Linked DNA regions of Diceros bicornis minor. Each later gene encodes a partner of the first gene's protein in a complex. Links are inferred from orthologs where the notes say so. Each region holds a gene or a part of one and is shown in the gene's direction. Other genes may lie near its edges. The genes, in order: PTPN3 and MAPK12.

Evidence for each region.
Region 2: the proteins of PTPN3 (region 1) and MAPK12 are in contact, whole or in part, in a crystal structure (PDB 4QUM), measured with the Homo sapiens proteins. The link is inferred for Diceros bicornis minor from reciprocal best matches to the Homo sapiens genes PTPN3 and MAPK12. Residues at the interface, in NP_002820.3 of Homo sapiens: Arg655, Leu671, Asn674, Arg675, Tyr676, Lys677, Asp678, Val679, Arg751, His812, Ser843, Ala844, Gly845, Ile846, Gly847, Arg848, Met883, Gln886, Thr887; in NP_002960.2 of Homo sapiens: Met182, Thr183, Gly184, Tyr185, Val186, Val187, Arg189.

The regions. Positions count from the first base shown.
Region 1 is NC_080767.1:18,388,252-18,403,469, reverse strand, and holds the start of PTPN3 (tyrosine-protein phosphatase non-receptor type 3), read left to right. Parts: upstream 1-7,659; 5' UTR 7,660-7,729; intron 7,730-8,124; exon of another isoform or gene 8,125-8,278; intron 8,279-8,306; exon of another isoform or gene 8,307-8,569; intron 8,570-15,218.
Region 2 is NC_080764.1:541,008-555,846, forward strand, and holds the start of MAPK12 (mitogen-activated protein kinase 12), read left to right. Parts: upstream 1-9,302; 5' UTR 9,303-9,322; coding exon 9,323-9,447; intron 9,448-9,527; coding exon 9,528-9,657; intron 9,658-12,262; coding exon 12,263-12,321; intron 12,322-13,168; coding exon 13,169-13,280; intron 13,281-13,397; coding exon 13,398-13,427; intron 13,428-13,694; coding exon 13,695-13,742; intron 13,743-14,321; coding exon 14,322-14,436; intron 14,437-14,675; coding exon 14,676-14,747; intron 14,748-14,829; coding exon 14,830-14,839. Other genes in the region: MAPK11 (mitogen-activated protein kinase 11), read left to right, coding at 2,347-2,522, 2,940-3,069, 3,154-3,212, 3,294-3,405, 3,496-3,525, 3,613-3,660, 3,741-3,855, 4,215-4,286 and 4 more. UniProt on the Homo sapiens protein: Serine/threonine kinase which acts as an essential component of the MAP kinase signal transduction pathway.

The DNA.
Region 1 (15,218 bases):
CGTTCTTGAAATGTCACCAGGGGTTGGGAGCACAGTTTTCTCCTGGGCCCTGATCAGGTTTCCAGTGTCTCAGGGATGAAATGGTCAGCCAAGCTAGAACAGGTTTCAGATGACCATCTTTTCATGGATTCGACTTCCAGTCGAGGCCTGGGTAGCTGAAGTTCCCCATCTTACTTCTCTGGCCATTTTGTTACCAACTGTGTCAGGAAAGCATCATTCTTTTTTTTTTTTGTGAGGAAGATCAGCCCTGAGCTAACATCCATGGAAAGCATCATTCTTGATCTTAAGGTCACTGAAATGATTTTTCTTTCTCTTTTATCCTCATCCAAAGCTCTTTTTTCTGTTCCATCTCTCAGCCACATGCATTTCTGATAGGAGTTCTTGACCTATGGCTGCTTCTTTTCAGAAAGCTATACATTGTTGCACCCTGGTCATAGTTACAGCCTTGACTTGTCAAGTAACCTGGACTTTGAGCTTGGTCAGCAAAATTTAGAGGGAGCCAAAATGTAAAACAAAATAATTTTAAAAACATATTGTGCATACATCATTCTTTTTTTCCAGAGAGAACTTCTTTATTTTTAAATAGGTTATACATCACATGGTAGATAATTCAGAAGGTACAAAAAGGTTTATAGCAAAAAGTAAATGCCCATCCCTCCCCTACCCCCACTTGTCCAATTCCACTCTGGGAGATAATGAACTTCCCAGCCTCAGTTTTGTGTGTGCTCTCTAGCACTCATCCCACCACTATGACTACCACCATTACTGCCTCCTCTCCAGTCACACGGTTAGCCTGCTCCTGGCCGCGTGAGAGCACGGTTGGATGGAGTCAGAAATCCAAGATCAAGAGCAGAGAGCCTGACAGCTCTCAATTAGGGGTCCCTGTGTGCCTGTAGGGGATGCCCTTCTCCATTTTCTCTTCTCCTCCCCTTCAACCCCTTTATATGTGCACATCTTTTAAGAAGTTGATGCTCTGGTCCTTACTCCCATCCATCCAAGCATCAGTGATACCTACAAGACCATAATAATCTCTTGGTAAAATTTCCCATCTTCTTAGTGTATTACTCAGACTATGTTCTTGCTATATATACATCGAAAGCTACAGGATAGAAGTTATAAAACTTCAGCACGCATAAGATTTTTACAGTAAACTATAAAATACAGGTTCCTGGGTCCCACAATGAGAGATTGAGAAGGTCTGTGCTAAGTCAAGAGTCTGCTTTTTCACAAGGACTCCTTCCCCCAAGGTGATCTTGATATGTGGTTCCTGGATCAAACTTTGAGACATGCTGCCTTCTGTATTGGTCCTGACTCTTCTCTCTAGAAACTTCTATTAAAGATTTTCGAGTGTTTTCTTCATCACTGCTGATTTTTCAAAGCCATGACCTCTGAATGACTACTCTGCATTGCCTGGGTGTTTCTCTCTCTCTCCTCCTGTTTTCGGGCATATGAACCTTAAAGGTGTGGTTGGGAGACTTGACAAACCTATTCTCCCTGGGTTTTGTAAGATGATACCACCACTTTCAGGGAAGGCCATTGCTTAAAAACGGTCAGCCACAGGACCGGATGCCAACTTTCATTCTCTGCATTTCTCATTGTTTCTCTTTGCTTCTAAAGTCACAGCCATCTGTTGATAGAAGCATCCTCAATGCTTTGATCTCAAAGAGCAGGCTCTCAAGGCCCCTAGACTTATCTTTCCGTTTTTCACGCAGCAGCAAATCTATGTGGTGGTCCGTGGGTCTATTATGGTCCTGTTGGTCCTCTGGCATATCTACAGCATGTGTGCCAGAAAAGCGTTTTTCAAACTCAGGTCCGTGTATCCCTGCGAGTTCACTCAAGTGTTCTTGAAGGTCTGAGAATGCTCTAAAATAATTGTTTAATGTTATCTTTCCATTCCTATGATAATATTAAAAATATATACACACAATCTGGATTGTCTGGCTGACTCCCTTATAACAGAGGGCTGCCACATGATTTCGGTTTCCTTATTCGAATCTGCGTTCATCGTCAAGTGGGCATCAAGTGACCATCTAAAAGGACAGCGTTTAACTTTTGATTTGTTGACAAGCACATTTGGCAGCCATTACGTGGGCTTGGCGTCCGCCTAGCTCAGACTGAAAGGCTGAGTCCTTCCTGGGGCTGACGAGGGGAGGGCCCTTGGGTTCTGGCTCCTGGAACTCTTGGCTTCCTCTCATCTCCTGCCACTTTCTGCTTTCTCCCTTACCCCACCAGCCTCCTTACTCTACATATGCTCCCTTGAGGGCCTTTGTCCTGGCCATTCCCTCTGCCTAGAAGATTCTTCCCCCAGATATCTGCATGAATAACAATCTCATCTCCTTCAGGTCTTTGCTTAAGTGTTTGCTTAAGTGATTAAATCTCTCAGTCCTATTTAAAATGGCAACTCCCCATGTACCCCATCTCCATCTCTCTCCTGTCACACCTCTCTCTGGTCTCTCAACATACAGTATCATTCACTTTTTTATAATGTTCGTTGTTCATTGTCTGGCTTGCCTGTTAGGATGCATTGTTGTTCGTGTTGTTCACTGAAGTCTCCCAAGCACAGTGCCTGACACACAGTAGGTGCTTAATAAATATTTGATGAGTAAACGAATGGACAACAATCACCTCATCTCTGCTGTTGTACTCATGTTAAATTTGTTCATCAGTTTTACAGACAAAACTCTTTTGGCAGTGATAATTCGCAATGCAAAGATATTTTTTGGATTGGAATGGATAAAACTTGAGGCTTAAAAATTTGTGTTTCTCAGAATGAGATCCGTAAAGTGTAGGAGGCTCCAAAAACACAGGCTGAGTCCGAGGGGGTCCGAGTTGGACCAACACTTCTCTAGCAGGTTTCTGACTTGACCTCTGACCCCTTCTCTCTCTGCTTCCCTCCTGGGCCGGGAACAGACATCGTGTCACCATCAGCCACGGTTGGGCACGCAGGGCGGGCTCCACTCTCCGTGAAAGGAACGGCTCAAATTTTTGTGCAATGCTGGAGTAGCCATTTTTTCTCTCTTTACCTCATTTTCTTTGGCTTGCCAACTTTTAAGTTTGTTTCATTTTTCCTGACAATAAAAGAAACAAACTTATCTTAAACTAAGATTTAGGGAACTACACGTAAAGACATACAAAGACATAGATGCCCAAAGACTTGAAATTGTCCTGAGTTGTAAAAGATACCTTCCGTATCTTGTTTCTCTGCCCATACATGCAATATTCAGACAGAGCCGCCATTAATATTTTGGTGTAGTTCTTTCTAGTCTTTTTCCTATGTGTATGTATTAAGTTGAAATATAGGAAGTCGCCGATGTTCAACCACTGTTGACCTACAAAATGGCAATTTTGTATGGTTTAACCTAGTAATTCACAGGGCTGAAGCCATACTACTCGTATAATTTTACAATGTATTCTTTTCACTTGTCATTATAACAGCACCACTTGCCCACGTATTTACCGATTCTTGGGCCCTTCGTCAGCTTGCATTAACAGCACAAATAATTGATGAGCATTAGCATCTCAGCTGGGAGCCCTGCCCTGTGGATCACTGAAACAGTCCACGTGGTGCCCAGACTTCCTGAGTCTTGATGTGAGTGACAATCCTCAGTGGTTCTTCCAGGAAACTCTTCTCATAAATGCCCCCGGCCTATGGCCTGTGTGCAATGCTTGGCACCAGATTTTCTGCCAAAATGGCAGCTTCTGGGAATGCTGCTAATAACCGTGTTCAGCTGCTCATCTCTCGTTCCTCTTAATTTGTGTGAATCTGGTCCATTACTAGTGATGCATATTGGGTTTGTGGCACATCTTCCTCTCCAATGAAATGACCCTCTTTGGCTTTTTGCGCTTGTTGTTTAGTGATTTCTGGGCCAGGTACTGTTAAAAGAGAGAGCGGACAATTTTTTTAGCTTGTCAGCAGTAGGAGGGCTGCTTTTAGGGTCCTGGCTTTCTCTCTGCAAACATCATCAGGACTATCAGCTCTGTATCTTTTTTTTTTTTTTTTTTGTGAGGAAGATCAGCCCTGAGCTAACATCCGTGCTAATCCTCCTCTTTTTGCTGAGGAAGACCGGCGCTGAGCTAACATCTATTGCCAATCCTCCTCCCTTTTTCCCCTTTTTCTCCCCAAGGCCCCAGTAGATAGTTGTATGCCATAGTTGCACATCCTTCTAGTTGCTGTATGTGGAACACTGCCTCAGCATGGCCGGAGAAGCGGTGCATTGGTGTGCGCCCAGGATCTGAACCCGGGCTGCCGGTAGCAGAGTGCGCGCACTTAATTGCTAAGCCACGGCGCCGGCCCTGTATCTTTTCATCACAGCAAAGTCCTGAGGAGTCCATGGACCATGTGGTTCTATTATGTTGTGATTCTGCCTCCAAAATGATTGCCCAGGGACAGTAATCTAGGTGGGTCCTCTCTGGACTGGCCCCATTATCTGAGACTTGGTACAGTCCTATTCCCAACTGGGCCTCTGTTTGCTCTAGATTTGGCTGGGTTCAACTATATAGACTAAGAAGATTACGTGTCCATCCAAAAGCCCCATTTGCATAAGATTTGTGAGCTTATGATATAAGATCAACTGCCATTGCTGATAATAACATCATGTCACTCCAGGGGCCACAGCTTAAAAGGGTGGACTTTACCATTTTGGCCCCCAAAATAAAACAGTAACAGAGGACCAGAACATTTAAAGGTAATCTGTAGCCTATAAACAAATCAAAGGGTAGAGAAAACAAGGCAAAAAAGACACAAAAGGAAATGATGTGTGTTTTCTCTTATGATCAATATATGGTAAGCTACTACACAGAGAGAGGAGGTATTATAAAACCTAACATCCTGGCTTTGAGGTCAGACCAACTTATATCCAAATAGTGACCCTGCCTCTTAGCAGCTGTGAACAGCTCGTAGAATGTTTCCTCTTCTGTAAAACTGAGCTAGAAACACCCACTCTGTAGACTGACCATAAGGATTAAGGACAGAATATGTGTAAAATATTGATCACACTTGAGCTTCATAATAGCAATTATTTTTGTTATTATTATATTATTTTATTTTAAAATAATAAACATTGCAAACACAATATTGTGACATTAATAGATAAACTTAAAAAGAAAAACCAAGACCACTACCCCCCAAATCAGACTATTTACATTTTCCCATATTTCCTTTTAGTCTTGGTAAATGTGTGGACATAATCTTTACGTAGTATATTTGTGTTTTCAGCTTTTTTTCACTTAACATTGCACTGTAAGTTTTCCCCTGTTGCAATATGGTCTAACTTAGTGTAAAACAGTTACTTCAACAAATATACCATAACCTAATTAATCATTTCTCTATTTGCTGACATGTTTCCAGTTTGGGGAATATTCTTTAATTTTGTTCCTGTTTCTGTTATGCTGATTTGAAATGCACAATTTTTAAAAGATTTAGGTTTTCTTCCCTTAAATGTATGGATATGTTTTAGCTCAATTTGAAAACACTGTTTATAAAAGCTAATGAGTGTTCACCGTGGGGAAAGAAAAGGTGGTTTCAGCCTAGTTTCTGGTGGAAAGCAAATTGAGACAACTGCAAGAATTCACACATCCATTAACCTTCGTTTCCTCATCTCAGCCCTTGGCATACTGGTATGGGGATGACAGATAATGGAGGTAGGCACTCAAGAAATGGATCTTCAAAGTGGACTAAACATGTTCATGTTCTTGATGTCATTCAATCCCCACATGCGCCCCAGATCGAAGCGGTAGGTATTCGTATTATTTGAGGCACAGAGAGGGTAAGGTGCTTGTCCCAGATCACACAGCAGCTGGGAGACAACAGAGAACGCCTCTCCCGGACTCTGAATTTCCAGCTTTCCCACCGAGCTTTGGAAAAAATGCCCCCAAGTCCCGCTAAGAGGCGGCGGGTACAGCGATGGGTCGAGGGCCGAGCCGGCCTCTGCGAGGGGCGTCGCCGGCCTCTCCAGGAGGCTCCTCCTCCCGGGCGCTCGGGCCCCGCCCGGCTCCGAGCATGCCCAGTGCGCTCCCCGCCCGTCCCAGTGGTGCAGGGCGGGCGCCGCGCCTCCAGGTTTTGCCCGGGACCAGAGGTCGGGGCGGGGCGGGACGCGGGGCGGGTCCTGTTCCTGGGACTCCCTGGCTCCGTCGGAATTCACCCGACGCGACGCTAGTGCGACGCCCGCAGCGGTGGCGCTACCCAGCAACATGCGACTCGGGGACAATGACCAAAGTGAAGTGCTAGGTGCTGCCGGTGGCCGCCGGATGGCCCTTGGGCCGACCGGACCCCTGGACCTTGGGCACCTGGGGCCGGACAGGATGGTTCCAGCCATTACTCCACTCCTTCATTCACATATTCATTCCCAAACACTTTTTGAGCACCTAGTGTGTGCCAGGCTGTTGTAGGGGCTGGGACACCGCAGTAAAGACAGGCAGGGCTCCAGCCGCGGAGCTGAAATTCCGGAGGTGAATACACAATAAGGAAGCAAATCAGGAAAAGTCACTTACCCACCTCATCTCCTGCTGCTCTGCCCTCCTTGCTATTGCCTAAGCAGTCCTGCGCCTTAGGGTCTTGACACTGGCTGTTCCCTCTGCCAGGAATGCTCTTCCCAGTTTTTCTGCGTGGCTAAAATGTCACTTTCTCAATGTCACCTCTCAAGGGCCCAATGTGACCACCTTATTGAAAATGGCACTCCCTCTACCCTCAAGTCTCCTTACCCTGCTCTTTTTCCTTCGTAGAATTTACCACCTTCTGATATACTATATAGTAGTTTGCTTATTTGCATGTTTATTGTCTGTTGCCTGCCTCTCTTCCCGCAAACTCCACCAGGGGACGAGATTTTTGTCTATTTGTTCACCACGCGCGAATAACCAGAGTAGGTGATCAATAATTATTTGTTGAATAAATTAATGGATGGTGATAAATGTGAGGAAAATAAAGTGAGGACATGGAGAGTGTCCCGGAGCAGGGGGCTAACTTAGTAAGGGGGTCAGGGAAAGCCTCTCCTAGAAGGGGGACATATGTACAATGAGAAGGTGCCAGCCACGTGAAAAGCTGCACAAAGACGTCCCACACAGAGGAGGGGAGAGGCATGTGCAAGTGCCCTGAGGCTATCCAAGTTCTGAGTGTTTGATGGACAGAAAGGTGCTCCTGGGGCTGCAGGAAGAGAGGTGTGAGATGAGGTGGAAGAGGAAAGCAGCAGCACAGATCAGGTAGGGGGCCTATAAATCTTGGGAAGAGGGTTTAAGCCAGGAAGGTTACTAGTGGAATGGGATGAGCACTGGACTGGGAGTCAGCAGGACCCCTGCTAAACCACAAAGCCGCTGGGCGAGACGACTCCTCATTTCAAAGATTTGCTGAACGCCGACTGCTTGACATTCCTAGGTATGGAATCACCGTGGGCCGGGCACACAGTAGGTGCCCAATAAGTGGTTATGGAGCCAATGCCTGCGTGCATGCGCAAGGGGAGCCGGCGCTGCACGGAGCTCGGCATGGGAGCCCGGGTGGCCCGGGGAGGCGCGTCCGGGCGCGCCAGCTCGGGGCGGGGGCGGGAGCGCCCCGCAGGGCGGCCCGGGCGCCCGCCCCCCGCCCGGCGCGCGGGCCCGTCGCGGCCAGCCCGGCCGGCGGGAGCCGCCCGCGGGCGGCACTGGGCATGCTCAGACGGCGGCCAGGTCGGGCCGCGAGCGAGCTTCCGCGCCGCCCGCACGCGCGACCTACCTGGGCGCCCCGCGCCCCCGGATGCTGCAGGTACGGGCCGCCGCGACCCCCCGGGCCGGGGGCAGGGCGCGGGGCGGCGGGGCCGGGGGCGCGCTCGGCGCCGCCCCGCCCCCACCGGCCCCGGGCGCGCGGCGAAGGCGCGGGCGGGCTGGCGGCCGCGGCCGCCCCGGGGCGGGCGCCACGTCGGGGCGGGGAGGGGGCGCCCCCGCCGCGCTCACCTGGCGGGGCCGGGGCGGGAGGGAGCAGGCCGGGCCGGGTGGGGCTCTGTCCCGGGCGGGCGGCCGGGACGCGGTGGCGGCGGCGGGGCGTGGGCGTGCGCTCCAACCGGGGCAGGGGCGGGCGCGACCGAGCCCGGGCGGCCGGCGACCCCGGGGGGCCCAGCGTCGCCGCGATTGCGGCCCCGGGCGCCGAGGGGGCGCACAGCCCGCGGGGAGCCAGCCAAGCGCGGCGGCCAGCCCTTCTCGGCTCCCCGGGCGAATCCGCCTCTCGGCTTTCAAAGATGGCATTTCCTGGGCCTGGCACGAACTCCAGCGCCAATAAATCCTCCCCGTTCCGCGGGCGATCCGAATGATTTATCAGGTACCTGTGCTGAGACAGCTGCAGTGGGGGGCGGGGTGTATGTGAGAGCGCCCAGCCCCCCGGAAATTCGCATTTCCAGCAACCTAAACTTACTGAGAAGTTGCGGTTGCCTTAAAAATTCATGGGAAGTTGAGACAACTTGACACCTGGGTTTTCCGAGGTGGTGGAAAGAGCTTGTGACTTGGAAACTGGAGACCTCTGTTCGAGTTGGACTCCCCCGTGGCCAGCTGGTGACCTTGGGCGAGTTGTTTAACCTCTCTGATCCTCAATTTCCTCCCCTGCAAACAGCCGGTAATGATGCCCACCTCACTGGGTTGTCGGGTGGATTAAGTGGGATAAATTATGTGGAGGTGTTTGGCACCTTGCCCGGCACAAAGCGAGCGAGCAGTTGGCGGCGTGATGTGAATTTAATTCGTTTAGAGACCCTCGTGGCTCCCATTTCACCAGGAAATTAGAATTATGAAAGCATCTTCAGGGCCTAGTGGCAGAGTGACAGACCCTGTCTTTGTGCCCAGGAGAACTTCTGCTGAAGTCAAGGCTTTGGAAAAACAATTTAGCCGAATTGTAACCTGAGAGCATCTTCTTTAAAAGCAGTTTTATACATTCAGAAACTCCAGAAGTTGGCACTTCAGCTTTACTTGCAAAAGAGCTGTTTTGCAAAATGATCCATCTTGCAAATGTTTAAGCAGATGATGCTTGAAAGTAAAGCCTGGTGAGGAAGATTTCTGTTCTAAAAACCTCCCAAACCCAACTTGCAGTGATTGTTTAGATCAAGGTTTCTTAGCCTCTGGATTGTTACCGTTTGGAGTTTGGTAATTCTTTGTTGTGGGGCCTGTCCTATGCATTGTGGGATGTTTAGCAGCATCCCTGGTCTCTTCCCAGTAAATTCCAGTAGCAAACCCTCTCCCTAGTTGTGCCAACCAGCAATGCCTCCAGACACAGCCAAATGGCCCCGGGAAGGAGGGGCAAAATAGCCTGTCTTCCTCTTGAGAACCACCGATTTAGAACCACTGTGCTTTCTATCATTAGCCTGAGTTGTTTGGGAATTTCATCTTATGTTTTTTACTATAATAACTAACCTTTGTATAGCCTTATAGAACTGCACAGAGAGCATCCACATGGGTCAGCTCATTTAGTTTTTACAACTCCCTCGTGGGGCTGGTGTTATTCACATTTTACAAATGAGGAAATTGAGGCTTTGAGCTGTCGATTACACAGTGTGTGGTGTAGCTGGGATGTAACTCACGTCTTCTGGTTCCACGGGTGGGTCTTTTTCTTCTACATCAAGCTGCTCTTTATTGTATGGAGACTCGCAAATAGATGACTTTCCTGATGATTAAATTATGATGTAAAGTAGACTGAAAGCTAGAACCTTTCTGAGATTGACTAGTTGAAAATTAACCGTAAGCTATGATCTGACAGAGAGTAGGTCGTTGTAGTTAAATATTCTAGTTGATAATGAGCTCCCATAAATCCCACCTACAGTTAATGGAATACCAATTTGCAGAGAATTAGAGTAGAATAAAATGTGCCTAATACTCTGTATTGATCCTGAGTTGTCTCTCCTGATTTGCAGTCTCCTAAAACGGACTCCTGTATGCAAATTAGACATTAGCTGGGGAATGTCAAAGGTCACGTTACTGAAGGCATTTTGGAGTGGCTGAGGAATTCTTGTCAGCAAGCATTTATTGGGCTGCTTCTATATGGTAGATGCAGTGCTGGGTGGGGATGCAGAGTAGGCCAGGGGACCCCAGTGAACCTAGGTGCCTGGGGGGACTTCTCTGCAGGGAGAAGGCAGGTTCTGGCCAGGACAGACACATGGCTGGCCCTTGGGGACAGCTTGGGGCAGGAGAGAGAACCCAAGGTAACACTGAGGCAAATTCAGGATCCCGCACTGCTTCCTCGCTCCTGTCTCTGAGCCCTCCTTTCTGCATTTTATCATAGAAAAGGTATTCTGAGAGCTTTTTAACATTCTCATTCAAGTGTCAGGATCCTTGTCAGAGACAAATCATATCCCCGAAAGAAGTTGGGGTCCCAGGCTGGTAATTGGTCTCTGGGGATTGAGACCAGCTCCTTGATGGTTGACTGTGAACTGGGAGGTTTCACGTACATTATTTCATTTCAGTGTCGCGTTCCCTGCCCCTGCAGACAAGCACACTGAGCTAGCAAAGGGAGTGTGGGGCCAGGAGCAAGAGGGACGAATTGTGACCTTTTGCACCTCGGGTCCAGGCACCCGAGGGATTCCGTTTTCTAGGAGGGACATAAGTCACCAGAGGGACTTGGCTTTGGGGACTGGAGGGAGCAGGAGGACATGAAACCCTCTCTACCCCCTCCCCCAGGGTTTGTGGCAGGTTGGGAGGGGACCAGCAATTTGTGGTCCCTCCTTCTCTACCTAGGAGAGTGCCTGTTGACCTTATTCCCAGAGCTTGCCTTCCTTCCAGCAGACAGTGGTTTCTGGAAAGCAGGGTTGATCCCTCTTCATCCCTCCCCAGCATCTGTTGCAGGGGCTGGAATGCCTATGGCACTCAGTACCCACAGTGGCCCTGGTGTTGACGGCCGGTGGGGGCAGGCAGCCTGCTGCTGTTGCTTCCCTAGCTTGGGCTCTTCTCACTACTCTCCTGGAGACTGGACAGGACCTGCTCGGTGTCCACACTGCTCTAGTCTGGGTCCTCGCAACCGCAGGCTCTGATCTCACAGGTGTCTCCTTTCATCTGCCCGCGGGGGCACTAAAGGGAGTGCTTGGTAGGCCCCTGACTGAAATCTGGTTGGTCATGGCTTCCAAGACCCAGAGGTCTTGCATCTGCAGAGCTTCTGCTTGGGCATGCACCTGAACCCTCGGCCTCCAGGTTAAGACCAGCCGTGAGCACAGATTTAACAGCAAAAGAGGACATTTATGGAGCCTATACTGTATGCCAGTCTCTGGGGCTTCAGGGATGAAAGCTGAACCCCTATCTTGGAAGGATGCATGGCGGAGTTAGGAAGGCAGCGACACTGTGTGTGTGTGTGTGTGTGTGTGTGTACACGCATGCATCTGCATCTCCGTCCGTCTGTCTATCTGATAACTGCTTTAAAAGAGGATAAAGCCAAACACAGGAGAGACCAGTGGAGGGAGCCATTTGTTCTGACGGGCATCAGGAACACCGTTGGGAGCAGTTGGCATTACATTCAGCCTTGAGGGTAGAAAAAGATGGCCTTTGGGGGGCAGGCAGAGGGCAGGAGCACAGTCTCAGAGGCGTGAAGAGACTGTGTGTACTTCGGGAGGGGGACTCTTCCCCAGGTGCAGCCTCCTGATGTTGGCTCCTGTAGTTAGGGTGCTGCGCCATCTCTGCACAGGGGCCCCGCCTCCCAGCCCAGGAGAAAGTGCCCATGCTCCTCATTTTGGCTGGGTGGGAGTGATGCTCCTGGGTTGTCTTTGAGGCATGAGCACCTTCTGGCAGCGATGCCTCTGGTTTTAGTTATTAAACACTGGTACGGCACCTACTGGCTGCCAGGCACTGTGCTGAGTGCTGTCCAAATACTGACTCCTTCATTTCATCCTCGTGGCAGCCCTCTGGCCATGCTGCCTCGCTGGCACCCGGACGCTTGGTAGGTAGGGGCAGAGCTCACCTCCCCAGGCCGTGTCCCTCTGTGGGTGATGCTCTGATCCTGGTACGGCTTCTCCCGGCTGCAGTTGACATCGATGCGCCGGGAAACAGCCGCGTCTGCGAGTTGTGATGGACTGCTGACTGCCACGGATTTTTCTCCCTGACCCCGTTTCCTTCGGGGGGCCAGCCGGGCTCCGCTGACTACAATTTCTGAACCAAAGATTGGGATCTGTAGTCTGAAAAAGAATGTTTGAACTGCTTCTTTAGGCAAGAGGAGGCCTGGGAGGTGTTGTTTGGATACTGAGAGAGTGGAATTTTTGAGGCATTTCAATGGTTTATGTGGAAAGTTAGGACAGAGGATTTGAAATTGGGATAGTCCTGGAAAATTCAGGTCCCATGATTTACTGTCAGGATACACAAGGTTTTAGTAAATATTTAAGCAATGTGTAGTTTGGGGTGAATTTTCTGTACTGAGCCTGTTGGAGCCCCAAAAGGGAATAAATGGTGCCTTCCAGCCCCAGAATCTTGCTAATCCTACCAGTCCCATTTTACAGATGGGGTGAGAAAATCGAGACTCAGAGAGATGAAGTGACGGCCCGAGGGGCACAGTGCTTATATGTAGACAGCCAAGATTTGAAACCAAGTCTGTCCCTAGACAAATCGTTCAACTGTAAAATGAGGATAATAATAGAACCTGTTTCCTTTAAATTGACCATTGTAAAGGAGCTAAGGACTGAAAACCCACTAAGGTAGAACTTGGTACAAGAAGGGCCCCTCCCTTTGTGGTTGGGCCCCTGATCCTCCAGACAGGCCCTTTGTTTAGCTTCAGTGCTGAGAGTTGCTGTGCGTGAGTGACAGCCCCCTCCCCCAGGGACCAGAAAGGGGCCTTGGCCAGCTGGATGCTGTGTTGATGAGAGGACTTTAGGAGTGGGGTGTGAAGACCTGGCTCCTGCACCCCACTTCCTTTGGGTGAGTCATCCTCATGGTCTAGACCCCAGGTTCTGGGTGAAAGAGGTGGTAACCAGCTCTGTCAGCCAGCCCTTGACCCTACCCATGGTGGGCCTGGAGTGGGGATGATCACAGCCTGAGCCCAGATCTTGCCCGCTTTGCTTCCCCAGTTCCCTCCCCTGGTCTGGCTATCAAATTCATACATGGTTGTGGTCGAAAATTAAAGTGTCATGGAGCAGAAGAAAAATCATTCATGATGCTCCTCAAGGGACAGCCGTCACCACCACCACCACTGCCGAGGACTCCACACACCCCTTCACCTGCCAGCCTGTCGTCTAGTCCGCAGCCCAGGGGGTCTTGCAAAAATACTTCCTATTGCTCTTAGAATAAAAGAGAAAATGAATGTTGGCGTCTCCTGCAGGCCCCGGTGTGCGGGCTTTGATCCTCCTGCTTTTTCCAGCTCTCGCCTCACCTGCCACAGGGGCTGTGGAGGCCTGGAACCTTCTTCCGCTCGCCCGCAGTTAACTGCTCCTCTGGGTCTTAGTTCCATGGCTGCAGATGCCTTCCCTCGCCTTCCTGATTTGGGGTAAACTGCCTGCTATAAACGCTCGTGCCACCAGATCTCTCTCCTTTTACAGCACTTTTCACAGTTGCAATTTTGTGGTTAATTAGTGTAATTATTTGTATTAGTACCTGCCTCCCCAGCTACACTGTGAGCTCTGTGAAGTCAGGGTCTGTCTTTCTTTTTTTAAAGAAAACTTTCTCTGAGACTTATTTTTTTCTTTTAACTTTTTATTTTGACCTAATTCAGACTTATAGAAAAGTTCCAAGAATAGAACAAACAACTACCATATACCCTTCACCCAGATTCCCCAGATGTTCCCATTTTATCACATTTATTTTATCCTTCTCTGTATGTATATATTTTCCCTGAACCATTTGAAGATCATTTATAGACTCTTCCTTTCCCCCAAAATACTTCAGTGTATTTCCTAAAAACAATGACATTCTCCTATGTAACTACAGTCTAATTTTTAGAATCAATAAATTATATTGATTAAAATATAAAATATTTTGTATAATATTTACTATTGATACAATATAAAAATACTGTTATCTAATCTCTCGGCCATATTCAGGTTTTGCCATTTGTCTCAATAGTGTCCCTTGTAGCAAAGAAAACCCCAGATCCTGTGTTGCATGTGGTTGTAACGTCTCTTTAGTCTCCTTTAAACTGGAACGGTTCCTCGGCCTATCTTTGTCCTCTACGACCTTGACGTTTTTGGAGAGTACAGGCCAGTTATTTCCTAGAGTGCCCTTCAATTTGAGTGTGTCTGTGTTAACTCACACAGTGTCCCCAGTGCCACTGGAACATCAAATGCACTCGGTAAACATTTGTTGAATGAAGACGTGGTAAGATGGAAGGAGATGGAAGGAAAAAAGTCAGCAGGTTTTCTAGTTTCCCCCACTCCTACTCCTTTCCTTGCTGAAGGCTATTATTCAGTTGCAGTCACACTGTTTATAGGTTTAAATCTTGCTATTTTTATAGCACAGCTTTCCCCCCAAAAGAGAGGCTTTCTCAGGTGTAGTAGTGAGCCTGTTGTCTCTGCAGGTATACAAGCAGATGCTGGGTGATGGCTTGGGAGGGATGCTGGAGAGGAGAATGGAACATCTGATGAGGGGTGAGACTCAGCCTGGTCCCTCCCAACGCCGAACAGCCTTCTCTAACTGCGACTTGAACTTCGCAGGCCTAGGGGCCCAAGAATAAGGCAACTAGAATTTATCATCCAAACATTTTGAGAATAAAAGGAGTGCTGTTGAGAATTACATCTAATCGAGTAGCCTCCTCTGGGACTCCCTGGGCAAACGTGACTTTGAGGTTGGAGATCAGTGCCAGAGGATCAGCCCAGAAACCCTTCTAGCACCAGGAATCCTTTGCCTGGATAAAGACAAAACTGATCTCCTTGGCATTGCATGCTGGGCCCATGTTCGTGGCTTTGGTCCACACGCACCTCTGTAGTCGCATCTCCCTTGGCATGCCCCTCCTCAGCTTTGCACCTGCTCCACCAGCTTTCTCTCAGCTTTGCCTTGCTTGCTCCTTCCTGCCACAGGGACTGGCAGAGCCTGGAACATCACTTACATACCCAGGCTGGATGGAGGAGGAGGGACGGGGCCTGTGATGGATGCACAAGGGGGACAAACAAGCCAGCTGTGCTTCCCACTAACCGAATTCTATTGGAATTTAAGAGCCAGGGTGTGTGAGTGAGGTGGGGCAGGGGACCAGAGTTTCCCTAGGCCTTATCTTCTCTTTTCCTGCAGTGCTCACACTTCCACCTGTACCTCCTGCGCAAATGCTCACGTGCCTCTCCCGACCCTTGTTCTGAGATCAGAACCTAGTCACCAGCCTT
Region 2 (14,839 bases), on another chromosome or scaffold:
CTGGCCGCCCCCTCCCCCAGCGCGGGCTCATCCTCCCTGGGACCGCCCCGGGGAGGGGAGGGGAGCGTTGGTTTCCGCTTAGCCGCCGCCTCGCAGGGGCAGGAAGCCGCGCGTTTGACTCCGGGAACCCCCTCCCCGGCCCCGCCCCGCGCCCCGCCCGCCGCCGCCTCCCGCCGCCGCCTCCCGCCGCCCTCCGTGCGCTCGGCTCGGGCTCCGGCGCGGGGCGGGGGCGCGGGGCGGGGCGCGGGCCGAGCGGCGGCCGCTCCGGACATGTCGGGCCCGCGCGCCGGCTTCTACCGGCAGGAGCTGAACAAGACGGTGTGGGAGGTGCCGGAGCGGCTGCAGGGGCTGCGCCCGGTGGGCTCGGGCGCCTACGGCTCCGTCTGGTAGGGGCGGGCGGGGTGGGGCGGGGGCCGGGGCGGGACTGAGTGCGCGCCCCCTCCCCGCCCGGCGCGGGGTTCCCGGCGTGGGGAGGGGCCTGGCCCTGCCTCCGCCCCCCGGCGCTACGCGGATCGGAGAGATGAATGAGGGGCGGGGGGCGTGAGGGAAACTTTCTGCTGGACGCCGCTCCCGGGCAGGGAGAGGGGTCGTCTTCCCACTCCGTCCCACCCGGAGCGTCCCCCGCGAGGCCCGAATCCTGCGGCGTCACAGCCCGCGAAAGGGGAGGTCTCCCGGGCCCCTAAACGTCCGAGCACGCAGCCCGGTGCCCCGGTCAAGGGTCAGGCAGATGCCCCCGCCCTAATTGGGTACTTTCCTCCGCTTTGGATGGCCTCCCGCGTGGGTCCTGCCCCCTCTCTGGTTTTCCAAGGGGTCTCAGACTCCGGTTGCGGCTTAGGGCTGAGCAGAGACACCTACCATTTGCCCTACAATCCTTAGGGGGGTCTACACCCCACCCCACCCCACTTTTGCCCCAAACAAGACAGCTCAGATCACAGCCAGGGAGTTAGGCCCTGGGGCCTAGACAGACGACAGACTGGGGGGGGTGCGGGGGAGGCAGATTCGGGGCAGCCTCTGTTTGGGGGAGGGCGCTTGGGCTCAGTGGTTACCGGGAGTCCCGGTTGCAGCTGCAATGTTGACAGTGAGGCTCATCCTGGGAGTGGATGTTGAGAGGTGCTCCCCCCAGAACCCAGTGGGGCTGGCCTCTGTGGGGTCATGGGGGTGGGGAGGCAGGGAGGGCTGGGGGTGGAGTGTTGTCCAGGCTCTGGCAGAAGGTTGAGTGGGATTTCCTGGATCCCCTCCCATGGCCCAGTGCTGGAGCCTGGAGCAGGGGCTTGGGTCCCAGGGGCCTCCGATGTCACACTGTCACTTGCCAGCCATCAGGAACCTCAGGCAGGCCTCCATCTTCATCTCTAAGACCTCAAAGGCAGGAAGAGAGTCAGAGACAATGTGTGAGTGGCCCTCCGGGGGATCTGACAGAGCCCCTGCTGGAATTGCCTCCGGCCCAGGATAACCTTCTGGGAGTTCCCAGGGAGTGTCACCCTCCCCAAAGGTGGCCTGAGTCTCTAGTGCCCTTACCTCAGCATGGCCCCTATGCTAGTGATGACCCCTGCTGGGCTCTCTCGCTCCTCAGATGAGGCTGGCAACCCAGTGCCAATTCCCTGTCGCTGGACTGGGCAGATGCAATTGGGCAAAAGGATCTGCTGCCCCATATGAGGGGCTACTCCCCTACTTCCCAGCCTGGTTGTGGCTTAGGGCTGAGCAGAGACACCTACCATTCCCCCTACGATCCTTGGAGGGGGAATCCAAGGAGTGACTTGGACCTTCCCCAGCAGGTCATAGGCTAGGGGAAGGGGCACAGATGCCCCAGGCTCAGAGCTGGCTTTCCTCCACCACCCTCTGGGCCCGTGAGCATCCCTTGTCCTGCAGGAGCTGCTCCTGGGGGCGGTGTGGGCATGGGGAGGGGCCTGAGGCTCCACTCACTCTTCGGGGAAGGGATGAGCATCAGTGAGGGGGAACAGCCTGTGCAAAGGCATTGCTTTCAGCAGGGCCCCCATCCTGAGGGCAATGGGAGGGTGGGAGGGTAGGGAGTGGCTGGACCATGTGTGTTTGAAGATAATGCCAGTGACTGTTGGGCTCCTGTGAAGAGTAGATAAGTTGGAGGCTGGTGTAGAGGTGGAGGCTCTGCCCCTGGGGAGTGAGGTTGGGCAAGGGGAGATGTTCTGTGGGTCCAGATACCACTCACTGCTGGACATTCCCTGCTGGCCAGTTTCTCACTGTTAGAAACGATGCAGTAAATCCTGTGGCCAGTTTTTCCTCCGTATTTTGAATATTCAGAGGCTTTGGGGGTTCAGGGGCTTTGGAGGCAGCTCTAGAACCCCTCGGGGAGTCTCCTGCACCCACAGGCCCATGGGGGAGGAGGAGGACCGTTTGCTTGGGGACATGCCAGGGGCTGTTTCCCAGACGTGTTATTTCCAGGCTGGCTGGCAGAGACTCCCCCACCCCCGCCTTGTGCTGAGTTGGGGGCGAGAGTCATTGGGAGGAGCAGACAAGAGAAGATCCAGGTCCTGCCCTGGGGCTCCCAGGTGGGGCAGGCTGGGCCCCTGCAGATATGGGAATGCTGGGGGTGAAGGGGTGGAGTGGAGGGTGAGCTGCCTCTTGAGAAGGAGCAGGACCCGAGGGGGCGGTGAGAAGAGGTTTCGTGGGAGTGTTGTTTGGGAGTGTTGTCGTCAGAGCGCCTCCCACGTGCCAGTCACCTTCTTGCCCCTGGGGCCCCGCAGAGGCGCACCTGCTGGTGGCCGGCGGTCCAGCCCCCTCCAAGGAGTCCCTTAGAGCAAAGGCGCAGAGGGAGGAGAGCAGTGGACGAGCAGGGGTGGAGGAGCAGCTGCCGGGAGCGTCTGTGCGTGGACCCCACCCTTGCCCCTCGGCCCTCAGCCCGGACAGGCCTGGGGCCGCGTACCGGCTGGGCCCCTCCACCGGCGCCTCACTCGCCCGCCTTGCAGCTCGGCCTACGACGCGCGGCTGCGCCAGAAGGTGGCGGTGAAGAAGCTGTCGCGGCCTTTCCAGTCGCTGATCCACGCGCGGAGGACTTACCGCGAGCTGCGGCTGCTCAAACACCTGAAGCACGAGAACGTGAGCTGGGGGCTCCCCGTGGGGGATGCACAGCCTGAGGGCCGCTGTGGGCAAGGCCGAGTCCTGACTTCCCTTCCCGCCCAGGTCATCGGGCTACTGGACGTCTTCACGCCGGCCACCTCCATCGAGGACTTCAGCGAAGTGTGAGAGGCCAGAGGATGGGTGGCCCGGGAGTGTGCTCAGGGAGGGGTCGGCGGGCCAGTCCTGATCCCTGACCCACCCAGGTACCTGGTGACCACCCTGATGGGCGCCGACCTGAACAACATTGTCAAGTGCCAGGCGCTGAGCGACGAGCATGTCCAGTTCCTTGTCTACCAGCTGCTGCGCGGGCTGAAGGTGGGCTTGGGGGGGGGGGGGCGTGGGAGGTGCGGGGGGCACGGGGGCACGGCAGCACGGGAACCTGACGCTGCGCCTTCCCCCTCGCAGTACATCCACTCGGCAGGGATCATCCACCGGGTAGGTGTGGCCGAGGGGTGAGGGGCCGGTTCCCTGCAGGCCTGGCTGCAGGACTCCTCCTGCGCTCACGCCCTGCCTGCCCTGCAGGACCTGAAGCCCAGCAACGTGGCGGTGAATGAGGACTGCGAGCTTAGGGTGAGCAGTGGGGCGCACTGGGCAGTGGGGAGGGGTATGCGGGGAGGGGCATGCGCTGACAACCCTGGTGGCCGCTCTAGATCCTGGACTTTGGACTAGCGCGCCAGGCTGACGAGGAGATGACTGGCTACGTGGCCACACGCTGGTACCGCGCACCTGAGATCATGCTCAACTGGATGCACTACAACCAGACAGGTGATGTCAACCCGCATGGGAGCAGCCACGTGGGACCGGGGTGGGTAGGCAGAGCTCACACCAGGGCCTGTGGAGGGCGAGTGGGGGTGAGGCCAAAAGCCAAGGACTTTGGAGGTGTGTGTCCTGTCTTGGGGGACAGGAAAGGTCTGGGACCAGCATTCAAAAACAGACCTTTGGAGGGGCCGAGCATGTTGGGTCATGGGCTAACCCCTCTGCCTGCCCAGGGCTGTGTGGAGGAGGAAGGGCCTGCTGTCTTTGGGCCTGGGTGTGACTGAGAGGCCACTGGGCTGGCACAGGCCAAGCAGCCCACTAGCTCTCTGAGGAGGAACTGGGGACTGATGGAGACCCTCCCTCAACAGTGGACATCTGGTCTGTGGGCTGCATCATGGCCGAGCTGCTCCAGGGAAAGGCCCTCTTCCCAGGAAACGACTGTATCCTTGGCCCAAGTTGGGAAGGAACGTTGAACCAGGGGCCCCTCTGTGGGGTAGGGTCGAGGGAGGGGGGCTCTGGCCCTTTCTGGCCAGTCTTGCCTCGTCTGCCCCACTGCGTGCCACGTTGGGCTCACTGTCCCCAGCTGTAGGAGAGCAGGATCTGGGCAGTGCCCTAAGATCTGGCTTCTGGGGCCCGGGAAGGGTCCGTGCCTGGCCAGTGGTCATTTCCTGAGCCGGGCAGACATTGACCAGCTGAAGCGCATCATGGAGGTGGTGGGCACACCAAGCCCCGAGGTTCTGGCGAAGATATCCTCGGAACATGTGAGTCACCGGACACCAGCTCCCTCTGCTGACCAAGCCCCTGGCACTCTGGAGGAAGGGGCAGTGTGGGGATAGACTGAGCACCATGTGGGGGCAGAGGTCACAGTGGAACAGAGCCCAAGGAAGATGCCCGACCCCTTCAGGGGGACACAGGTGAACAGGGAAGACATTCCTGGCACGAGGGACGGCGAGGGCAGAATTGCAGCACCGACAAACAGCGCCCTGGCCAAGGACGGTGGGCGGCACCGTGCCAGGTCCTGCAGGCATTGAGGCCCAGGCGAGGAGCTGGAGCCCCCAGGTCCAAAGCAGGGGAGGTCTCTGGTCTGTGCATGCCCCTGCCCAGGCCTGTGGGAGTGAATGAGTCTGGGGCTTCTTTTGGCAAGCCCCCTTCTGGCTTAGGGCTAGGGGAGGTGTGGGGGTGAGCAGCCCCCTCAGGCCCTTCCCATGTGCTCCCAGGCCCGGATGTACATCCAGTCCCTGCCCCCCATGCCCCAGAAGGACCTCAGGAGCATCTTCCGTGGAGCCAACCCCCTGGGTGAGGATGGGCTTGGGGTCTGGGCTGGGCTCCATGTCTGGCCCTGGATGCAGAGTTGACCCCCCCACACTGGCTCCTCTGCAGCCGTGGACCTCCTGGGAAGGATGCTGGTGCTGGACAGTGACCAGAGGATCAGTGCAGCTGAGGCCCTGGCCCATGCCTACTTCAGCCAGTACCACGACCCGGATGATGAGCCCGAGGCCGAGCCCTATGACGAAAGTGTTGAGGCCAAGGAGCGCACGGTGGAGGAGTGGAAGGGTGGGCCTGAGGAGGGCTGAGGAGGGAGGTGGAGCCCAGGATCCCAGGGTTGCATTCCTCCCCAGGGGGTCTGGGAGCAGGGACAACATTCCGCACCCCCCCCACCCCCGCCCGATGCCCTGGTGGGACAGCTAGAGATGAGGTTGGGTGTGTCCAGCGGAGGCTTGGGGGCAGCACAGGGCAGGCTCTGGAAGGAGGCCCAGGAGCTGAGGCTTCTCTCGGAGGACGGTGGTCCTGGGCTGGGTAGCTGGCACCAGATAAGCTGGGCAGGGGTGCTGGGCTGGTGGCAGCATGAGCTCACCCTTTCCCCTCCTTCCCCTCACCCCTCAGAGCTCACCTACCAGGAAGTCCTGAGCTTCGAGCCCCCAGAGCCACCGCAGCCGCTGGGCAGCCAGGAGACTGGGCAGTGAGGGGAATGCTGCCCATCACCACACTCAAACTCAACGAGGGGCCTGAGCCTGCCTGCCCCCCTTCCTCAGCATTTGGGGTCCCACAAGGGGCGCCACCTTGATGGCCCGGCAACCCTGATCCCTGGCCAGGGACGCCCCGTCTGCACACTGCTCCTTGTGGGGAGTCTGCACACACATGTGAATGCATGCAAGTGTGCATGCGTGCGAGCCACGGGTGTAGGAGTCTGGGCAGAGTGTCCTGGACTTCCACCGTCCTTCTACCCCCTCCCAGCACCCTGGGTCTCCTTTGGGACCTCACTGGGGGACTGGATGCCGTATGGGTTTCTCCTGGGGAGTGTGTCTGTCTCCAGATCTCCTTAGTCCTGGAGGGCTGTCTCTGGGGGTGGTGCGTTGGCGTCAGGGCCCCCTGGAGACTCAAAGGGAGGGGTCGCAGCGGTCAGAGCTGCTCAGCCTGGAAGCGGGCACTACCCTGGGAAGTGCTGAGACCTGATGGTCTGAGAGCTGAGCAGGGTCTTTCCTGGGGGGTGGCAGGGCGGGGACAGCTGCCAGGTGTCAAATCAGAAAATCCACCTGAGCTGCATGTTCACCTGCGCTGTGTGTGGCACAGACGCACTTCAAGGCACATGCAGGCGTATGTGCACCTGTGGGTGCCCAAGGCCCAGCGGCCTGACTGGCAGGAGGCCTGAATTGGGGTGGCTGTACTATTGCCTCCCCTCCCCACTGTTCCTGATGCCTGGGGGGTGGGGGTGGGGCTGAGATCCCACTGTGCATCATGAGAGGGGCTCCGGTGGAGAAGGGGCAACCACGGGAGCAAGAGCCGGGGCTCTCTCCTTGGGTGTGGGAGCTGCACCAGGTTTCCAAGGCATGGGGCACAGTGCGAGTTGGGGAGCTGACGGGCACGGGGCTTCCCACCTTGAGGATGCTAAGAAGGAGGGCACACACCGATGTGGACTTGGACTTGACCCTGGACTGTGGCCCTGACTGATGAAGATGCCTCTGCCTGCTCTACCTCTGCCCGCCCTCTGGCCCTGCAGCTGAGAGCTGGGGTGCTCTGGTCTGAGGGTCTGCCCTCATCTTCCCTCCTTCCAGAATGGAGCTGACCTACTAACCTCTGGGCCAGGACCCTGCTCCACACGTGTTGTGGGTGTGAGTCTCTGTCAGGTGGTGACCTATCACCTGGCAAGACCAGGGAGGTCTGAATGTCAAGTGCCTGCACCAGGGTTTCGCAATAAAGGGGGTTCCCTCTGGCTCAGCTTGTGTCCCAGGCTCCAAGCCCTGCTGCCCCTCTTTCCCCACTGCCTGGAGTGGGTGGCTGGCTCTCCGAGCATCACACCTCCAGCTGGCCTGGCCCCACCAGACTCCTGCACTAGCCAGATCCCTTGGGCCCCCAGTGAGACAAGCAGCCATCTTCGGCACGCTCCCTGCTCCCTGAGAACCCAGGCAGACCTGGGGGTGGGGGGTGGGGGTGAGTCCTCCACCCAGGCCAGTGGGCTCTGAGGGGGACAGGGTATGATGGCCACCCTCAACTTGACCCCAGCAGGGTAGCTGGGGATTCACTGGGCAGGCTTGGCGTCTGGTCCAGATGCAGAACTGCCCCTCGACTCAGTGGTCAGGGTGGCCACTGGGTGACAGTTGGGGGTCTCTGGAAGCAAAGGCCTTTCCCAGGGCTGGGCTGGGCTGGGCTGGGTGGGGGAAATACCTTTCCTCTTTTTCCTGGTTAAGGGGAAAGAGGGCCACTTCAGCCTTCGACCTCCTGCTCACTGCAGCTTGGGGGGCGGGGGGGACAACGACCCAGTCCTGACAGAGATCAGGCAGGGTGTCCCCAGGAAAGGGACGTTCTGTGCCCCTGCCCTGGGTCTTGGGTGGTGGAGACTATCTGGGAAGTGGGCCTCCAGGGGCCTGGTCAGTGTGGCTAGTGGGCCTCAAGTCTTGGGGAACCTCCGGAGACTGGGCTGGGCCAAGTCCTGGGGGTGGGGTGGGGGATGGGAGCAGAACCCCGGGAACAAGCCCCATCTGGCGGTGTGTCCTGATAGGCAACCCTGCTGGACCCTGGGCCCCAGCACAGGGAATAAGGGGTCCAGCTGGGGGACTTCCTGGAGGAGGCAGGTAGAGTGCCACAGGCAGTCCAGGGCATGAAGGGCACGGGTACAGGCGGTTGTGGCTCCCATGACCCCAGGCTGCCTCCACTGACCTCCAACTCCTGAGGGCTCTGGATCACCAGCCTCACCAACCAGCAGCCCAGGTGTAAAGCTGCTCTGGCCAGGCTTGAGCTGCTGATTCATGGCAGCCAGCTGGGCAGGGCACAGAGGGCGGGACAGGGGGCCCTGGGAATCCTGTTACCCTACTCCTTCTCAGACCCCCATCGCTGGGCTAGGGGAGGATGTGGCAGGGGGCTGGGAGCTCTGATCTCCAGGAGCATCTGGTCCAGGATGGGTCCCACTGAGGGGTAAGGGGGCGCTGAGAGGCCCAGTAGGGCCCTCCTTCACCCGCAGGGTCAGGCACACCTTCCTGGAGAGAGCGGAGAGGCTCAGGCTGGGCTTTGAAGGACAAACAGGAGGGAATAAGCTGGGCAGGGGCTGGGACGCGCAGAGGGACTTGCGAATGCTCGCAGCAGGCTCCCCACATGCCAAGTAGGGGGAGAGAAGGGAGCTGGGGTGCACAGGGCCCAAGGGGAACCTACAGGACCACCTTCTCTGGCTCCCTGGGGTTGGGAGGCCTGGGGTCTGTGGTCACAGGGAGGGGTGTTGGGGATGCAGCCTAAGTTTGGGAGACAGAACGAGCTCTCCCATACGGACCCCACAGGTGCTGGGGACCTCACACTGGGGAATGGATGGATCAGGCGGGGGTGGGGGGCGCTCAGGTGTGGGGGGGTGGAAGTTGGCGGGCTGCTGGACAGTGGCGTAGGGCTGGGGATAGAAGTCCGACGGCCTCAGGCTGCCCAAGACGGGCCCAGCGCCCTGGGGGCATGGTTAGTGAGGAGGAGACAGGAGCCCCAAGCTAAGACACCCCCGACGCGGGCCCGGGGGTTCAGCCTGAGTGCGGGGGCGAGCCGGGGGTCTCCGACACCCCTTCCGGTCCGGTTCCAGGCTGGGACTGAGCTTCGGGGCGGCGCTCCCTCCCCCTCCGTCCCCTCCCCCCAGTCTCGGGTGCTCCCGGGCCACAGCCGCCTCGGGTTTCCGGAGGGGCCGAGGGCGGGCGGGGGCGTCACGTGCGCGCGGCCCGGGGGCCGGTTGGTCCGCAGGCAGGGGAGGGGCCGCGCGCTACGCGGTCTGGGGCTGGGTCGGGCCGGGGTCGGCGGGACGGGAGAGCCTGGAGGACGGCGACCCGGAGGGAAGAGCCGGGAGCGGCAGTGCCCGGCGGCGGCGGCGGCGGCGGCGGCGGGCGGGCGGCGTGGAACCGGCTCTCCCGCGCGGTGGCCCGCGGCGCGCGCCCAGGGAGCCCGCCGATCCCGGTTCCTGGTCCCGGGGCGCGGCGCCCGTGGGGTCTGCGGCGGGGGCGGTGCCCGGGCCGCCATGAGCTCTCCGCCACCCGCCCGCAGGGGCTTTTACCGCCAAGAGGTGACTAAGACGGCCTGGGAGGTGCGCGCGGTGTACCAGGACCTGCAGCCCGTGGGCTCGGGTGCCTACGGCGCCGTGTGGTGAGCGCAGGCCGCGCGGGTGGCTGGGCGGGGTGACCCGGCCCTCCCTCCCTCCCACCGCTAAGCGGTGCGTCCCGCAGCTCGGCCGTGGACAGCCGCACGGGCGCCAAGGTGGCCATCAAGAAGTTGTACCGGCCCTTCCAGTCCGTGCTGTTCGCCAAGCGCGCCTACCGCGAGCTGCGCCTCCTCAAGCACATGCGCCACGAGAACGTGAGTCGCGCGGGGTCCTGGGCTCAGGACGCCGCGTCCGTCGGCGCCGCTCGTCGCCCTCCTCCCCGGCTCCTAGGCGTCCCCCTGTGCCGTGGGGCGGGTGTCAGGGCACTGTCCCCGAGAAGGGTGGGCGGCTCCAGTTGGTGAGGGCAGAGCCCCTCCTCTCTCTGAGGGAGACTGCTGCCCCAGGGCTTGGTCCTCTCCTCCTAGGCCAGTCCCTGGGCAGGACTTAGCTCCTTGGCTTCCTCCTGGGGCCGCATCTGGCTCCTAAGCCCAGGCTCTGGTCAGGGGCCGGCCACTTGCCCAGGCGGATCATCCATGTCTCACCCAAACGCTGCCTCCAGCCAGGAGCCTGAAGTTAGAGGACGCTCCAGGGAGAGGAGCGATTTTCCTGGAAGGGGCACTTATCCTCTTCCCCGCTGCCCGACCGCAGGCCCCCTTCTCCAGCCGGTCCAGCCCCTCCTGAACCCACTCTGCTCCAGTCTACCTCCTGAGCCTCAGCCCTAGGAGTTGGGGCCCTGGGAACACAGAGCAGGCATAGTGTTGGAGTCAGCATCCTGGCTGTCACCTCGGAGCCTTGGGGTCTGGGGTGGTGAAAGGGTTTAGAGAGTTGATGTGTGGAGGGCACTGGGCGCAGAGACGCTGGCTTCATGTCCATGGGGGCTTCACGGACAGTGGGGAAGGGACAGATCTGGGCGCTTACCAGTTGTTTCCACATCTGCCCGTGGGACACAGCTGCCATGGGCCTCTTTCGTGGCTGTTGCTGGCTGCTAAGAGCCCTTCTCTCCGCCAGGGGAGCTCCTGTTGTTTCTTGATGCAATCCTCCTGCGGCCATGACCTCTGCCCCCTCCCACAGAAGCCACTCCTGTCTCACCCCACTTCTGGGCCCAGTCTGAGGCATGGTGGTTTGGGCACCCACAGGTGGTCTGACTCCTCCCGGGTCATCAGAGCCGCCAGCACTCCCTGGAGGGAATGAGTCCTTGTGTCCAGCCGGAAACTTGTCCCCTTGGTTCCTGGCTGATGCCCATGCCCACCCTATTAGCCCCTGGCTGGCTCTTCATTCTCTCAGCCTGCCCGTCTCCGCCCTTATCTCTTCCCAGGTGAAATCCATTCATGGTGGACCCCAGCCCAGCCTTGGCCTCACTACCTCCTGGTCACACCCAGGCCTGTCCCCGTGAGGGCAGACAGGCTTCATCCGGTTTCTCCCTTACTGCCCCTCACTCCCACCCACCCACCCTTCTCATCCAGCAGGGTCTTTGGGCCTTCTGTTCAGTTGCTTCCCACCCCTGATCTGGCCCAGCCCCCTCCTGGGGCCTGCCCCCCAGCCTGTGCTGGGGCCACCCCACTGTGCGGTGGGTCCTACCATCCCCATCCAGCTCCTCACCCGCCAGCACCCAGCACTGCCTCCAGGCACCCCACACACAAGCTGGGAGGCTGGCCTATTGTGAACCCATTTCCTTGGGAGGAAACAGGCTCTGAGAGGCTGTGGAGCGGCTGCCACGTGCTCTAGTCCTGCCCCTTCCGCCCTCCACTTCAAGCCTCTCCCTCTCCTTCTCCCCTACTTCTGCTGCGATCTGCACCGCAGAGGCACAGAAGTCTCCGTCAACCTGACAATCCCCTTAATCTCGGGGATCCGGTCCTCTGTTCTCCTCCCTCTTGCTACAATACCCTCCCAGTGCCCCAGGCCCCTCTCTGGATGTCCTGCTCTGTTCTCTCCTCCCCTGCTGCCCATGGCTCTGGCCCCAGTGGCTGCAATGGTCATCTAGCTGTTCCTCCACCTCACGTTCACTCTTACCTCACTCCGGTCTGCCCCCACACAGCAGCCAGGGAGACACATTCAGTATCATGCCTGTTTAAACCCTTCCTCGGTGGCTCTTAGGATGGAAGCCAAGCCTCACCTGGCTGTGAGGGCCTCCTCCGGCTCCCTCTGGCCTCTCCTTGGCTACTCCCTGGCCTGGGCCTCGGCCACCTGGCCTCCCTCCCCATGTTCCTCAAACGCTCGAAGTGTTCTCCCTCCTGCCTCGGCCACCATCCACATGACCTCTGCCAGGTGTCCCCCCTGCCAACCGCTCGGATGTGAAGGCCTCCCTGGGTTCCTGGAGGCCCTGTCACTCTGAGCCCTGGGGCCAGTTGTCACATTACCTGTCTGCTGTCCATCACCTTTGACCAGGGGTCTCTGGGGTCAGGGGTTTGGTCATAGTGCTGCCCGCCTGGGCCTCTCCAGCAAAGGAAGAACCTGCCAGATTCTAGCTCTCCCCCAAGGGGCTGTCCCCACCCTGATCCTGGGTCTTCAAGGAGGACAGGAAAAGGGGGAGGAAGGGTCAAGGGGCTGGAGCTCCTTGGACGGCTGGAAGCTGACCCAGACTTGGGGCTGCCCCTCCCCCAGAGGATCCCAGCTGTCACCATCCAAAAATAGCCTGTGTCTGTGGGCATGTGTGCCAGGCCGGGTCGTGCTGCCAGTGGGCAGAGCCAGGCAGTAGGGGGAGACGGGTACAGCTGCAGGGGGCTTTCCTGCCTGAGCACCGTATCAGCCTCAGAGGTGTATTCGAGCTCCCGCGCCCTCCGCTGTGTCCCTATCCCACTTGGTGCTCCGGCCCCTCCCCAGGTGATCGGGCTGCTGGACGTGTTCACTCCTGACGAGACCCTGGATGACTTCACAGACTTGTGAGTGCTGGCCGGGGCTGGTGGGCAGGGCAGAGCAGTGTTGGGTGGCTCCTGGGTGTTCTGGGTTGGTGTGGGGACCCACTTGAGACAGGTCTCTCCCTGCAGCCTGGATGGGGGTCGGGATGCACCCTGCCCACCCCCTCCCTACAGCACAGTCCACCCACCTGCCACGTGCCCCTGGACCCACGGCGCTGGCACATCCGGGTGGAGCCTGGGCCTCCTGCCACGCTTGGCCCTGGGCCCTCCCCAGTGCTGGAGGTGCGAACCTTGGGCCTGAGTGTTTGCTGGCCGGCAGGTCCTGTGCTCTGGGACCCTGGCACCGAGTATGTGACGTGTAACTGGAGCTGCTGGCCTTCGCTGGCAGGCAGGGAGGGGTGGCAGGGAGGACCCTCTGCCCCTGCTGAGCCTGCCCTGTGGCTGCCCAGGCGGCCCCCTCTGGACTCACACTGTTGTCAGCCAAGAGCCAGGGGCTGGGCTGGGAAGGCCAGGCTCCTGCCGTCCGACCTTGCAGAGGTCGAGGACCATACTGGCTTCAGTGTCCTGGCGGGGTGCTAAGTATCTCTCCCCTCTGTCTCTCTCCCTCCGCCTGCCCAGCCTGCCCCTCTGACCCAAATGTCCCACTGGCCCCACCGCTGCTCTGACTTCCCTCTACCCGCCTGACATTCTGGGGAGGGCGGGTGGGTAGAAGGAGCCGCGGGTACTCCTTGGAGGTGGGTGGAGCCTGGGGTGGCAACGTGGGAGGTGGAGGCCTGATGCTGTGGGTGACGGGGCCTCCCGGGGTCTGGGCCTGGGCCCAGGCCCAGTAGGTGTGATCCCCACTGTCTGCACCCCGCCCTGACCCCTGCAGCTACCTGGTGATGCCGTTCATGGGCACGGACCTGGGCAAGCTGATGAAGCATGAGAAGCTGAGTGAGGACCGGATCCAGTTCCTCGTTTACCAGATGTTGAAGGGGCTGAAGGTGGGGACATGTGTGCGGGGGGCAAGCCGCAGGAGCAGGCAGAGCCCCTCCAGGCTGGGCTGGGGCTCTGAGGTCCCAGTAAGTTGACCTCTGCTGACCCTCTCTCTCTCCCCACAGTATATCCATGCTGCTGGTGTCATCCATAGGGTGAGTCCTGGCTGTGTGGGTGTGCGAGGGGCTCGACCCCTAGGAGCCTCCATTTCTCCCCTGTAAGGGAGCATGATGGGGTCCAGTGGGGAGTGTGCACCACACCTGCACACAGCCTTGGGGGTCCCAGGCACCTCCACCCTTATGAGAAGGGCTGCAGGCATAGGCCGGCCGAGTGTGGCTGCTCCCACATCCAGCTGCTGTGCGGGCTCTGGCTCTTGTACACCCTGGTGGGCAGGACCACATGGCCACCTTCCCTCTGCCCAGGACCTGAAGCCTGGCAACCTGGCAGTGAACGAGGACTGTGAGCTGAAGGTGCGTGTCAGGTGCGGGGACTCAGGGGTTCCTTTCCCACCTGCCCGTTTGCCTGCTGCATCCTTAGCCCTCAGGCCTGCAGGAGGGCTGGCCCAGGCCCAGGCCCAGGCAGAGAGACCAGACCCCAGCCATCCAGGCAGTGGTCGAGCAGCGGATAGGCAGATGGGCCCTGGGGAGGCACTCGATGGGGCGCATTGAGCACACTCCCATCCCTGCTTGAAGGGAAGGGTGGGATGTGTCCCCAGTCCCCCATGCCTGATCAGGGCAGGATCGAGATGGCCTCCCCAAAGGTGCTGGCCAGGTCCTGGGGGTCAGTGGAGAGTGGAGGAGCAGGAAGAGGAGACCCCCTGGGGTACCTGCTCCTAAGAGTGGGGGGAAGGCAAGGTTGGCAGGCTGGGTGCACTGGCTGTGGGGAGGAATCCTGGCAGAGGCTTGGGCATCCCTGGCCATGACCTCAGGCCCTGGAGGGCTGGCAGGAGGCCCTGGCCTGCCCAGTCCCCTTGGGGTCCCCTGGACCACAGCCTGGCCCACCCACTCCCTGGGGGCCCCTTTGCCCCACCTTCCTGATTCTGGCTGCAGATCTTGGACTTTGGCCTGGCCAGGCAGGCAGACAGCGAGATGACCGGATACGTGGTAACCCGGTGGTACCGGGCGCCTGAGGTCATCTTGAATTGGATGCACTACACACAGACAGGTGAGAAACTGCCTAGAGTCTCAGGGCCACCACTGTGCCAGCCTCCCTATTTCTTCAAAGGAAGGCCCATGGTGGCTGCTCCGCAGGGAGGCTCCTGAGTTGGGATGGGAGCCAGGCGAGGACGGGGCAGGCTAGATGTCCTGTGTCCATTTCCATCCCCCCGAACCCCCGTGTGTGTGTTCCCCCACCCCCCACCCTCCCCTGCCCACAGAGCCCTGATGTGGGGGCTTCTGTCTCAGTGGACATCTGGTCGGTGGGCTGCATCATGGCAGAGATGATCACGGGGAAGACGCTGTTCAAGGGCAACGATCGTATCCTACACCTTGGGGAGCAGGCTGGGGGGTGGGTGAACTCTGCTCTCTGGCCCCTGCTGTGCTCCTGACCTTGCCGCAGACCTGGACCA